Linked DNA regions of Ovis aries. The protein of the gene in region 1 purifies or fractionates together with the protein of each later gene. This does not show direct contact. Links are inferred from orthologs where the notes say so. Each region holds a gene or a part of one and is shown in the gene's direction. Other genes may lie near its edges. The genes, in order: STRIP1, PPP2CB and SLMAP.

The links.
Region 2: the proteins of STRIP1 (region 1) and PPP2CB purify together in Homo sapiens (affinity purification with mass spectrometry; 6 studies listed by BioGRID and IntAct, counting the BioPlex papers as one, with this or other methods). This does not show direct contact. The link is inferred for Ovis aries from reciprocal best matches to the Homo sapiens genes STRIP1 and PPP2CB.
Region 3: the proteins of STRIP1 (region 1) and SLMAP purify together in Homo sapiens (affinity purification with mass spectrometry; 4 studies listed by BioGRID and IntAct, with this or other methods). This does not show direct contact. The link is inferred for Ovis aries from reciprocal best matches to the Homo sapiens genes STRIP1 and SLMAP.

What each region holds. Positions count from the first base shown.
Region 1 is NC_056054.1:87,356,841-87,360,487, forward strand, and holds part of STRIP1 (striatin-interacting protein 1), read left to right. Parts: coding exon 1-63; intron 64-1,157; coding exon 1,158-1,229; intron 1,230-1,720; coding exon 1,721-1,795; intron 1,796-1,986; coding exon 1,987-2,084; intron 2,085-3,308; coding exon 3,309-3,435; intron 3,436-3,647. UniProt on the Homo sapiens protein: Plays a role in the regulation of cell morphology and cytoskeletal organization. Required in the cortical actin filament dynamics and cell shape. Part of the striatin-interacting phosphatase and kinase (STRIPAK) complexes.
Region 2 is NC_056079.1:26,064,038-26,068,208, reverse strand, and holds the start of PPP2CB (serine/threonine-protein phosphatase 2A catalytic subunit beta isoform), read left to right. Parts: upstream 1-1,296; 5' UTR 1,297-1,646; coding exon 1,647-1,748; intron 1,749-4,171.
Region 3 is NC_056072.1:43,446,793-43,450,439, reverse strand, and holds part of SLMAP (sarcolemmal membrane-associated protein), read left to right. Parts: intron 1-1,031; coding exon 1,032-1,352; intron 1,353-1,762; coding exon 1,763-1,880; intron 1,881-3,647. UniProt on the Homo sapiens protein: Associates with the striatin-interacting phosphatase and kinase (STRIPAK) core complex, forming the extended (SIKE1:SLMAP)STRIPAK complex.

The sequences.
Region 1 (3,647 bases):
GACACGAACACAGTGGTGGGGCTGCCCAGGCCAATCCACGAAAGCATTAAGACTCTGAAACAGGTAGGTGGCTTCAGGTATGCTTTTGGCCTAGTTTGGTCCCAAGTGAGTAAAGTGATACCATCCTGTTGGGAGAAGCTTTTTTAGACTTCTGTCTGCCTGAAGGAACCAGGGGTGGAGTAATAGGTGGACAGTGGCAGTATCCTTGAAAACACTTTTTCATGCGTTTTACTTATTTTAACTGAGCGTTTTTTATTGGGTACTTACTGGGGTACCCATTAAAGATTCTATTAACTGACAGTTGGCGTTTTAAGGGGCCTAGGACATAGCCTCCGTTTTCCTTGCCCAAGTTCAGGGAGTTGAGTTAGAGGAGTAGGCAGGTGGAGATTCAAATGCCAGCTTGTTGCCGATGGAGTGATATGGGAGCATAGCTGCAGGAGGTGTCCTGACACCTCCCTTCCAAAGTTAGGCAGACTCGCCTGCCCAGACCAGAGAGGCCTGGAGCCCTGCTCAGCCTAGGCAAGGAGCAGAAGCGTGCACAGGCTTTTCTTTTTCCTTAAGAGAGAAGAGAAAGAGGTTGAGCGAGACTGTCCTGTTCCTCCTCCCATGCTGGCCAGTCAGGAAGGGGAGGAGTGAGTGGGCGGCGGTGGGGAGAGACCAGGGTGTTTGGTACACACGTGTCCCTCCAGTGGGAGGAAACAGCACAGTGAGGAAGAGGGGTGTTCCCTAAGAGTGTATCTGCAATATAAGTGTTCATATATTTTTGAAATATAATTTTGAAATTTGTAGTACTAGGTGGGCCTCATGCAGCTAGGCTTTTTGAGTATTTGAGTCCTTGATTCTGTGTACTTGAGTCCTTGATTCTGCTTTTACGTTTCCTCCTATAGCTGTAGCTGTCTGCAAGTCCCCTCCTCTCCTTTAATTTGCCTGTTTCCCCCTAACCTGTTCTGTGCTTTCTTTATACTGGTTTTAAGAGACAGGTGCCCACTTAGAAAAATATTTTGGGTTGGGGTTTTAGTTCAGGATCTCTGTGGTGACTTAGCCCTCTTTGAGAAGATGATGTTTGAAGAAAATTGCATGGGGTCTTTCCCAGGTGTGGGCATTTGGCCAGAGAATGCGAGGTGTTTGCCCTAATGTCTCTCTCCCTCTCTTTGCAGCACAAGTACACATCGATTGCAGAGGTCCAGGCACAGATGGAGGAGGAGTACCTCCGCTCTCCTCTCTCGGGGGTGAGTTGGGGGCCTTCCTCAGCTCACCGGATCCCAGCCGTTCCCAGCACTGTATAGGCCTAGGCTGCAGAGCATCCTGGCCCGCCCTCACATAGCTCCCAGTCTGGCTCCCGCTGCAGGGCTGCTGCGTGTCGGGTGCAGGGGTAAGAGCACAGACTCTGGGCCCGCCACCTACCTCTCAATCCCAGCGCCACCCCTTGGTGGATGGTGACTTAGGCAAGGTACTCGATCTCCTTCTGCTTTCCCTTCCTAGCCTGTTAAATGGAAATAACAATAGTACTTTCTTCATAGAGTTGTAGTAAGGATTCATTGTGTCTTTACAAGTGAAGTACCTGGCACATTTTGTTATTAAAAGTTTGTGATCATTATTAGCATTGTCGTTTACGTCCATACTTAGAGATTCTCCTCCAGCCAGCTAGCAGGCTGGCTCAGGAGAGCATTGTCAGGACCAGGCTTTGTATCAGTGCCCCTTATATGCATTGTGTTGAAAGGGAGAAGAGGAAGTTGAACAGGTCCCTGCAGAAACTCTCTACCAAGGCTTGCTCCCCAGCCTGCCACAGTACATGGTGAGTGCGCACCTCCTGAGAGCTCTGCCTGCCATGTGGTCACCGCCCCACAACAGGCCTTGAGAGCATGCCACTGGTGTCCTTGAGCCCCTCCTTTTGCCCCCTAAGCACCTCTAAAAGCACCGCCTCTCAGGAGTTTATGCTGCCTGGGGCCCTCTCAGCATGCTGTGTGAATGTCTGCTCCTTGCCAGATAGCGCTACTGAAGATCCTGCTGGCTGCAGCTCCCACCTCGAAGGCCAAAACAGACTCAATCAACATCCTAGCTGACGTCCTGCCTGAGGAGATGCCGTGAGTATCAAGTCTTGAGAGTTGAGGATGTACAGAAAGGGGACGTGTTGCTGGGTGGTGGTGGTTCTTTGTTTTGTTGTTGCTGCTGCTGCTGTTACATTAGCTCAGCTTCTCTGCAGATTAAGTTTAGGGTATTCTTGGTTTAGAAGAAAGAAAATGTACTGGGTAAAATAATTAGTTTTACTGCTTGTGGGGACACTTTCATCTGATTGGCCTGGATTCTAGTGTAAACTCTGCAACTGAGTGAATTGGAGACGTCACTTCCTCTTCCTCCTCTGTTAAATGAATAGGGCTGTGTCTGACATTTCCCCAAGTGCTCCCTTGAAAGCTATGTGCTTAGGACGTTCAGGACATACAGTTTTAGCTTCTGCACAAAAATCAGCCATTGGAGCTGGGTGTAGATTCTTTACTATTCACCAGTGAACTGGCATGAAAAATATTTTTGAACGTCCCAGGGTAATAGTGAAATCTCCAGGGGTTCTTCCTTCCTGAGGCCCTGACCTCATGTTTTTGATCTGAGAGTACAAACTCAGATCACGTTCTACTTTGAGAAGGACCTGGGCACCTGATCTCCTGCCTGCTTGCCAGGACTGCCCAGCTCTGAGCCTAACTCCCTGGTGGGCTGGCCACTTGAGTCTAGTGGTGACAGCCAGTGAGGGAGTAGGCGGGTTGGCTAACACCAAAGGGGACGTTAGAGAATGCCAGGGCATCTGATGGTCCTTGGAAAAAGGATTCCAGAGTCAAATATTAAATCTCCTCTTATAAAGATTTATAGTTAACTCCTTAATTAAGAACTTAACTCCAAACTTAAGAAACTGATTTAAGTAAATGCTTCCTAAATTTATTTGACTCTGAACCCCTTTTCCCCATAACAAGAGCCATCTCAATATGCTGGTATTCCAACAGAACATGCTCTGAGAAACACAAGTACATATGATGGCAGAAGCCTCAGGAAGATCTTGAGATGAGAAGTTCAGTTTTGGAGGAAAAGCAGGGAAATAGGCCAAGAATATGTTTGGGGCATCAGAAGGAAGAAGTCAGGTGTACTGAGCTAGATTGCTTGGGAGGTGGGTGGGAGGAGCCAGGCCTAACCTCTGAGATGTCCGTAGGGTGGAGGGTTAGGTGGGAGCTCTGCCCCGAGAAGGCTCAGGAGTCCTGTCTCCTGGGAGCGCCAGGCAGGAGGTGCTGCACATGCTGGGGCCTCACCCGGGGTTGTGCTTCTAGCACCACAGTGCTGCAGAGCATGAAGCTGGGAGTGGATGTGAACCGCCACAAAGAGGTCATCGTTAAGGCCATTTCTGCCGTCCTGCTGCTGTTGCTGAAGCACTTCAAGCTGAACCACGTCTATCAGGTATCTACAGCCCCTTCCTTCTGTCCACGGGGCCAGGCCCTTGGGCAGTGCTGCTCCTCAGGCCCCAAAGAACAGAGGCTTGGCCTTCAAACCTCCCTGAGCTCTGCGCAAATGTGCAGAGAAACAGTCCTCCACACGAGGCTTTTTATCACGAGAGAAAGGGTGAGATCCCAACTGCTGCTGCTGCTAAGTCTCTCCAGTCGTGTCCGACT
Region 2 (4,171 bases), on another chromosome or scaffold:
TTCTCCAGGAACTCCAAAAACACTATTCTTACTCTCATTTCATTCTGAGCTTGACAGGTTTAGCTGAAACTCAACCTTTCAACCTTTATAGACGAACCTCCTCGGAGACCGCAAATCTCCTGAATCACGGCAGGTATCCTGTTTGTTCAGTACTGTTTCGCCATCTTTTCACGTTCTGTCCTCAACTGCTTTGCTGCTATTTACAAGGCACTTGAGAACAGGAGCTTTCCAGCCATATTTCCCACCATATGACTGACTTCCGACGCTAGGAGTATTTATAGCTTCCCGAAAAGACCTCAGTCTTTCACACATTTGTCCTCTGCCACCGTCCAAAAAACAAATCGGTGTAATTTCTTTTCCCTTCTCCAGGCAACTTCAACGTTTTGCCCCGGGGAGAAAACCTTTCGGTAGCTGTTGCCTAGTAGGGATAGTAAGGCAAGGAACATGAGTTCCATTCTGTACTATCGGATAAGCTCTTGTAGAATTTAATCTTCACAACTTGAAAAGGCAGGCCTTACCGCACCTTTGCAACAAATGAGGACTCAGAGGCTGGGGGCAATCTGGTCATTGTCCAAGGACACAGCGAGGAGGTTGGCGATGCCAAGAGGGGGCTCTTGCCTTCTGATAAAGGATGCTGCCTGCCGCCACTTGTCTAGTAGAGGAAGTATGGTTGGTGACCACCTGCTCTCCAGGGTATCTGGCAGTTAGCAGTTGCTCGATGAACATTTGCTGAGTGAACAAATCAATAGAGCTCAGTAAACACTGCATAAATGTGGTGAAGAATGCTGGAGCTGGAAGGGACAACTGATTGATAATCACAGAGTAATCGATTCGTGTTTCTGATGCCTAAAGGGAGGATTCGAGATGTCGGTGCCCTACAGCTTGCTTAATGACAAAGCTAAGATATGGAAGAATTTACGTATGTATCTGTTTAATAGGTAATGAACGCCGGCTATGGGACAGTGCTAGACTCTGGGGAGACTATGTGGTCAAGGAGAAGCACAAGCTTCCCAGTTCTCTCTCCATAGCGCTAAAAAAGAAGAAGAAAAAAAAATTCTCAGAGAAAAGGACGTAAAGGGAAAAGCGAGGAGAGACTGGTCTGGACCCGAGTGGAGAAGTACGATACAAAAGGGAAAAGCGAGACAGCGGCGCGCCCGTCGGCCTGTTTCTCCGCCGCGCCACACGGGGCGCTGCAGGCCTTCTCGAGTCCCGGGCCCGGCGGCGCCGCCCGCTCGCCTTTTTTCCCGGCGGAAATGCCCGGGCGATGACGGAAAGCCGGAGGGAGGGGAGAGAAAGAGCGAGAGAGAAGGAGCCAGGGAGGCGAGAGCGGCTGGCGGGCGGCAGGCGGCGGGTGCCCATCCTCCGGCGGCAGCTGCGCGGAAGCCCCGCACGTCCCCGCGGCCTTCACCGACTCTCGGGGCGCGCGGGCCGGCGGGCCGGGGCGGGCGGGGGTCTCCCGGAGGCCGCGCGCTCGGAGCCGCCCGAGGGGCTTGGGCGGGGCGCGGGGTCCGCAGTGCCCGGCTCCTCCCTCCCCCGCCGGGAGCTGGGCGGCGGCGGCGGCGGCGGCGGGGGGCTAGGGGAGCGGCGCCCGGGGCGGGGGCGCGCGGGGGGCGGGAGGAGGCGGCGGCGGAGGGGCGGGGGCCGCCATGGACGACAAGGCGTTCACTAAGGACCTGGACCAGTGGGTCGAGCAGCTGAATGAGTGTAAACAGCTTAACGAGAACCAAGTCCGGACGCTGTGTGAAAAGGTGAGCGAGAAGAGGGGCGAGGTGCGGCCGGGGAGCTTCGGCTGGGTGCGGGGTGGGCGGTGCGGGGACCCCTCGTCTTTCCCCTCCCGGGCCGCCCGCCCGCCTTCATCCCGGCACCGGGTCCAGACGGAGCTGCGTCTCATGCTCGGCTTCAGCCCCTGGGCGGGGCCGGGCCTTTCCAGGACCCCTCTCGGGACACAGCCCTTGGTTAGGCCCGGACCCCCCCCCCCCCCCCGCACCGCCCCGGATCCAGACCTAAGGCGTCTGGGATGGGTGGGCGGGGGCTCCGTGACACCTGGAATTCATCACCCAAGTGTGATTGTGGGGTGACCGGCGCTCTAGTGAGGGTTGCTGACAACCCCAGCATTAACCCGGGCGGACTGGCAATCCCGAAGCTTCAGCCGCCAAGCAGATTAATCTCCTGCAGCCTCGTAATGGAAAGTGCACCGAAATGAGCCTGGGTGTTGTGAATTATCAACGCGCGTGGTAATAATAAACAGAGGCTTTTTCTCAGGTGACTCGGCCCTTCAAACATCGCTAATACTTGGTAACGCGTCAGGCATTTGTTTGTAGAGAGGTGGGTGTGATGGCAGACTGTGATTTTTTAAAATAGAAGTTGACTCTAGTTGAGACAGATGGTGGCTGGTCTTCACGTTGAGAGGCTCTTTGGAAGCAAAAATGTTTGATTTTTCAGAAACAAGACGGCAAGTCTTAAGTTTGGCAACAGTGCTTACCTGAAATGATAAGTGGGGTATGTGTTTCTCCTGAAGGGTAGCACTTTTCAGAAGGTTATTTCTGTTGCTGTTACATGTAAGGTTTTTTTTTCATTTCCAAAAAGTAATAAAATATGCAGGTGGTTTACTGTTTTCAGTCGCTCTTGATTGTGTGATCGTAGACAATCTTCTGAATTCTGTATCCATTTTTTTCTTAATCACTGGAATTATTTTGGACTTTACATTTTTTCTCATTCATCTTTTATAGCCTAGACTATTTTTATGTAAAAAGGTCTCGTGGAGGAGTAACAAAATTATTTATTCTTTAATGCTTTTGAATTGTTATTTATTTTTAAGCCATACTCCCTAAGACTTTCTTGATTTTGTTTGGAAAGCAGGATGCTTCAGAAAGGCATTGAAGGAAAGATTTTATTAATATTATTTATAGAGTACCCTTAAAATTAAATGTCTTAGGAATGGAAGAGTTAATGCTAAGTTTAAAATAGTGTTTTATTTTTTAAATTAAGTGTAACGTTGTTTTGGGTTTTTATGTACTAACAATTTTTTTTTAAAAGTATAATGTTGCATTTAAGTGTTCAACAAACTTGTTCAGCTATAAATACACAATATTCTTTTTCAGGTTCTTTTTCATTATAGGTTATTACGTGACATTGGGTATAGTTCTCTGTGCTATACAGAAGGTTCTTGTTTCTTTTACATAAAGTAGTGTGTATATGTTAATCGCAAACTGCTAATTTATCCCCTCCCCATCCCCTTTTGGTAACCCTTAGTTTGTTTTCTATGTCTGTGAGTCTACTAAATAGCTGTGTATTGATACAGGAGGATGTATTTCTGTAAATAGAACTACCAAAAAGTGGTATATTTGTGTTTCTGAGACAAATTGCTTATGGACTGCTTCAGGTTCTGGCTACATTCAATTTTCTTGTGTGATAACCTGTAATTTCACGTTTTAAGATTGATGTTTTAAATCGCTGTCTCTCTCAGGCTTGACTGTCGGGTGAAATACCCAGTTGTGAAATTAGCTGAGTCAGTTAACCTCTCTGTGACTAGTAGACATAGACTTTAAGTGGTGGGCAAAGTTGGTAGTTGAATCAGTTTTTCCCTCTGACTGTCTGATAATTTTAAGACGTCTTTCGGGAGAAGAATGTTGCACCCCTCCTCGATCACACTTGATCCTTCGTCACCTGAGCAAGCTTTCTGAATTTGTCCAGAGAGATTATTTTGACTTCAGCTCCTAAATAAGTTGAACTGCCAGTCCCTAGTTTCTTTGAGGTATATTTAAGCTTATATCTTACCTACTTTTTTCTCTGAATATTTGTACTTTTCCACCAAACACGAATTTTTAAGTGGCAGTGCTTTGTCATTTATCTTTATCCTCTGCTTTTGCCAGGGATGTGGAGGGCTGGAGCAGAGTGGCGTGCCCCCCGCAGCCCCTACCCTTCTCAGCGGTGCTTAGTGTGGAGCCCCTTGCCAGCAGCTGTGGCAAACCTTTGTGGTGTTGATTTTCTGTCATCTAACCTTACAGCTCCATTTTACTTCCCTACCTCTGCCCTCCTTTTTCCTGCTGAGTGCAGCATTTGTTTATAATGGCCAGCCTGCGTTCAGACCCTGGCTCCACAGCTTGATGGCTGCGCAGCCCTGCCCCTCCTACTCCTTATCGCTAAGGCTGGGGTGATCACTGACCTCCTG
Region 3 (3,647 bases), on another chromosome or scaffold:
ATGGGCTAGTATTTAATGTTTATTTCTGAGGCAACCTCTTCCTCCCCAAGCCTGAAATCCTCTTATTTTAATTGTTCTTTTCTGCCTAATGAATTTTTTTATACTTATAATTTTCTTGTGTTATAGTAACCAAGACCAGTATTCTAGTTCTGAACCCAGCATGATTTTATACAGATTGTTTCCAGTTCACATCAACAAGACCAGAGCTTTAAAAAATATACCTCTGACTAGGCAGTATTCAGTAACTTTATTAATTCATTAATTCAACCGATAATCCTTGGTTCTTTACTCTTCTAGTCTTGAGGATAGTATACATGAGATGTACCATGTAGTGAAAAAGATGAACAATAAGCAAATAAGTATATAATGTGATATCCAGTAAGAGCAGAGCAAAGGACTAGAGAATGACAGTGGACTATTTTTAGATAAGCCGGCAGAGAAAACTGCTTTAAGGAATTGACAATTAAACAGAAAATTGAGTTAAGAATATCAAAGGTTTTATTAATGTTTACCATCTGACCAAGCAGTTCTGTGTCTATGAATTCACCCTTACGGGAGGAAAAAAATCAAGATTGCATTATAAGATGTATTGTCATCAGTAATTAAAAACTCAACAGCGTAATATATCTGAAATAAAGGATTAGTGAAGAAAGTTAATATAGCTGTTTTGTCGTTAAAAAATATTTATCACCCGCAGTATAGAGAGCACTGTATTCATTATGATTGCTCCCAATTTTTGTTTTCATATATGTATAAATGCTTAGAAAAAATCTGGGAAAATAAGTACCAAATGTTAGAAGTAATTTTCTCTGTGTGGGAGAAATAAAGATGACTTTGAGTTTTTTTCCTCTCTTTGTTTTTCTGTATTTTGATGTTTTATGCATTAAACATGGATTGCTCGTACAGTTTAATCAAAAGCAACAAACGGCTCTGACAGCCTGGGCTGTGCAGTAACTACAGTCCCATATGGACTGTTCTTTTATTCCTGATTACTGGGACTAAGAAAATGATGAGTAACTATACTTTTATAGCCCAACTACAGAGGTTACACATCAATATCGAGAATCTCCGGGAGGAGAAGGACAGTGAAATCGCAAGTACCCGAGATGAATTGCTTAGTGCCCGAGATGAAATTTTACTCCTTCATCAAGCGGCAGAAAAGGCTGCCTCTGAGAGGGACACTGACATTGCTTCTTTACAAGAAGAGCTTAAGAAAGTGCGAGCTGAGCTTGAGCGGTGGCGGAAAGCAGCATCTGAATATGAGAAAGAAATCATGAGTTTGCAAAATAGCTTTCAGCTTCGGTGTCAACAGTGCGAGGACCAGCAGAGGGAAGAAGCAACCAGGCTGCAAGGTGAGAAATGTACTTTACATAAAACTCTTAATGCTTGACACTGATAACTTCATAACTTGTACTGAATCGAATGCAGTCAGGCTAATTTTCTCTTCCGTAACGATTGATTGTATAAAAGCAGTGTTTTTATATTGAGGCTATAAACGTTCTTCACATCTGTAAGCTCTACAGTGAATTGAAAAAATTTGCAATTTTACATTTATTTATTTAAATACTATTAAAAATTATTTGTCTTGTAAAAGTGAAGTGGGGAAAAAAATATTACTGGAGTTCAGGATGATGAGAACTTCCTTGAGGCATAACTGCAAAGTAACAGAAATCAAGGAAAAGCCATATAAAATCTTTGTTTTTTAAAGGGGAAAAAATAGTTATGTTCCTATATTAACAAATGTGTTTTGGGACTATTTTAGGTGAACTAGAGAAGTTGAGAAAGGAATGGAATGTATTGGATACCGAATGCCGTTCTCTAAAAAAGGAAAATGTTTTGCTATCTTCAGAACTGCAGCGGCAAGAAAAAGAATTGCACAAGTATGCATGAACTCTTATTTAGGTTCAAAATATTTCTGTATCTTAGATTTTCATCTAAATTTAATTTAATTTTGATATTTAAATACCTTTTGGAACAAAATATTCAGCCAGGCTCTTTTCTGGCTACTTGGTAGATTAACCCCACTAAATGAGTACTGAAGCACTTTTTTTCTGGCACCACCTCTATGTCCTTTCCTTTGGGTGTATTCATGGAATACAGATTCATAAATGCCGCCTTCCCACCCCCATTCCCAAAAGCTCTAAGCAAACAAGCAGCAAATGATCTATGATTAAATTCACCTGTAAGCTAAATGGTAATAAATTTCAAATACAAGTTTGTTTTTTTCTTTCATGCCAGTGATCCCTTCTGTTTATAAGGTTCATCAGAAGATGGCTGTGATAAAAGAATTGATATTATTGAGACAGAATCAGCTTTTCCTTATCAAACAGGGTTATGTAAAAAGTAATAATACATGACCTAAATCAAATCCCTTATGATTATACAGTGGAAGTGAGAAATAGATTTAAGGGTCTAGATCTGATAGATAGAGTGCCTGATGAACTATAGAATGAGGTTTGTAACATTGTACAGGAGACAGGGATCAAGACCATCCCCATGGAAAAGAAATGCAAAAAAGCAAAATGGCTGTCTGGGGAGGCCCTGCAAATAGCTGTGAAAAGAAGAGAGGCGAAAAGCAAAGGAGAAAAGGAAAGATATAAGCATCTGAATGCAGAGTTCCAAAGAATAGCAAGAAGAGATAAGAAAGCCTTCTTCAGCGATCAGTGCAAAGAAATAGAGGAAAACAACAGAATGGGAAAGACTAGAGATCTCTTCAAGAAAATTAGAGATACCAAGGGAACATTTCATGCAAAGATGGGCTCAATAAAGGACAGAAATGGTCTGGACCTAACAGAAGCAGAAGATATTAAGAAGAGGTGGCAAGAATACACGGAAGAACTGTACAAAAAAGATCTTCACGACCCAGATAATCATGATGATGTGATCACTAATCTAGAGCCAGACATCTTGGAATGTGAAGTCAAGTGGTCCTTAGAAAGCATCACTACGAACAAAGCTAGTGGAGGTAATGGAATTCCAGTTGAGCTGTTTCAAATCCTGAAAGATGATGCTGTGAAAGTGCTACACTCAATATGCCAGCAAGTTTGGAAAACTCAGCAGTGGCCACAGGACTAGAAAAGGTCAGTTTTCATTTCAATTCCAAAGAAAGGCAATGCAAAAGAATGCTCAAACTACCGCACAGTTGCACTCATCTCACATGCTAGTAAAGTAATGCTCAAAATTCTCCAAGCCAGACTTCATCAATACGTGAACCGTGAACTCCCTGATGTTCAAGCTGGTTTTAGAAAAGGCGGAGGAACCAGAAATCAAATTGCCAGCATCCACTGGATCATGGAAAAAGCAAGAGAGTTCCAGAAAAACATCTATTTCTGCTTTCTTGACTATGCCAAAGCCTTTGACTGTGTGGATCACAATAAGCTGTGGAAAATTCTGAAAGAGATGGGAATACCAAACCACCTGACCTGCCTCTTGAGGAATCTGTATGCAGGTCAGGAAGCAACAGTTAGAACTGGACATGGAACAACAGACTGGTTCCAAATAGGAAAAGGAGTACGTCAAGGCTGGATATTGTCACCCTGCTTATTTAACTTATAAGCAGAGTACATCATGAGAAACGCTGGACTGGAAGAAACACAAGCTGGAATCAAGATTGCCGGGAGAAATATCAATAACCTCAGATATGCAGA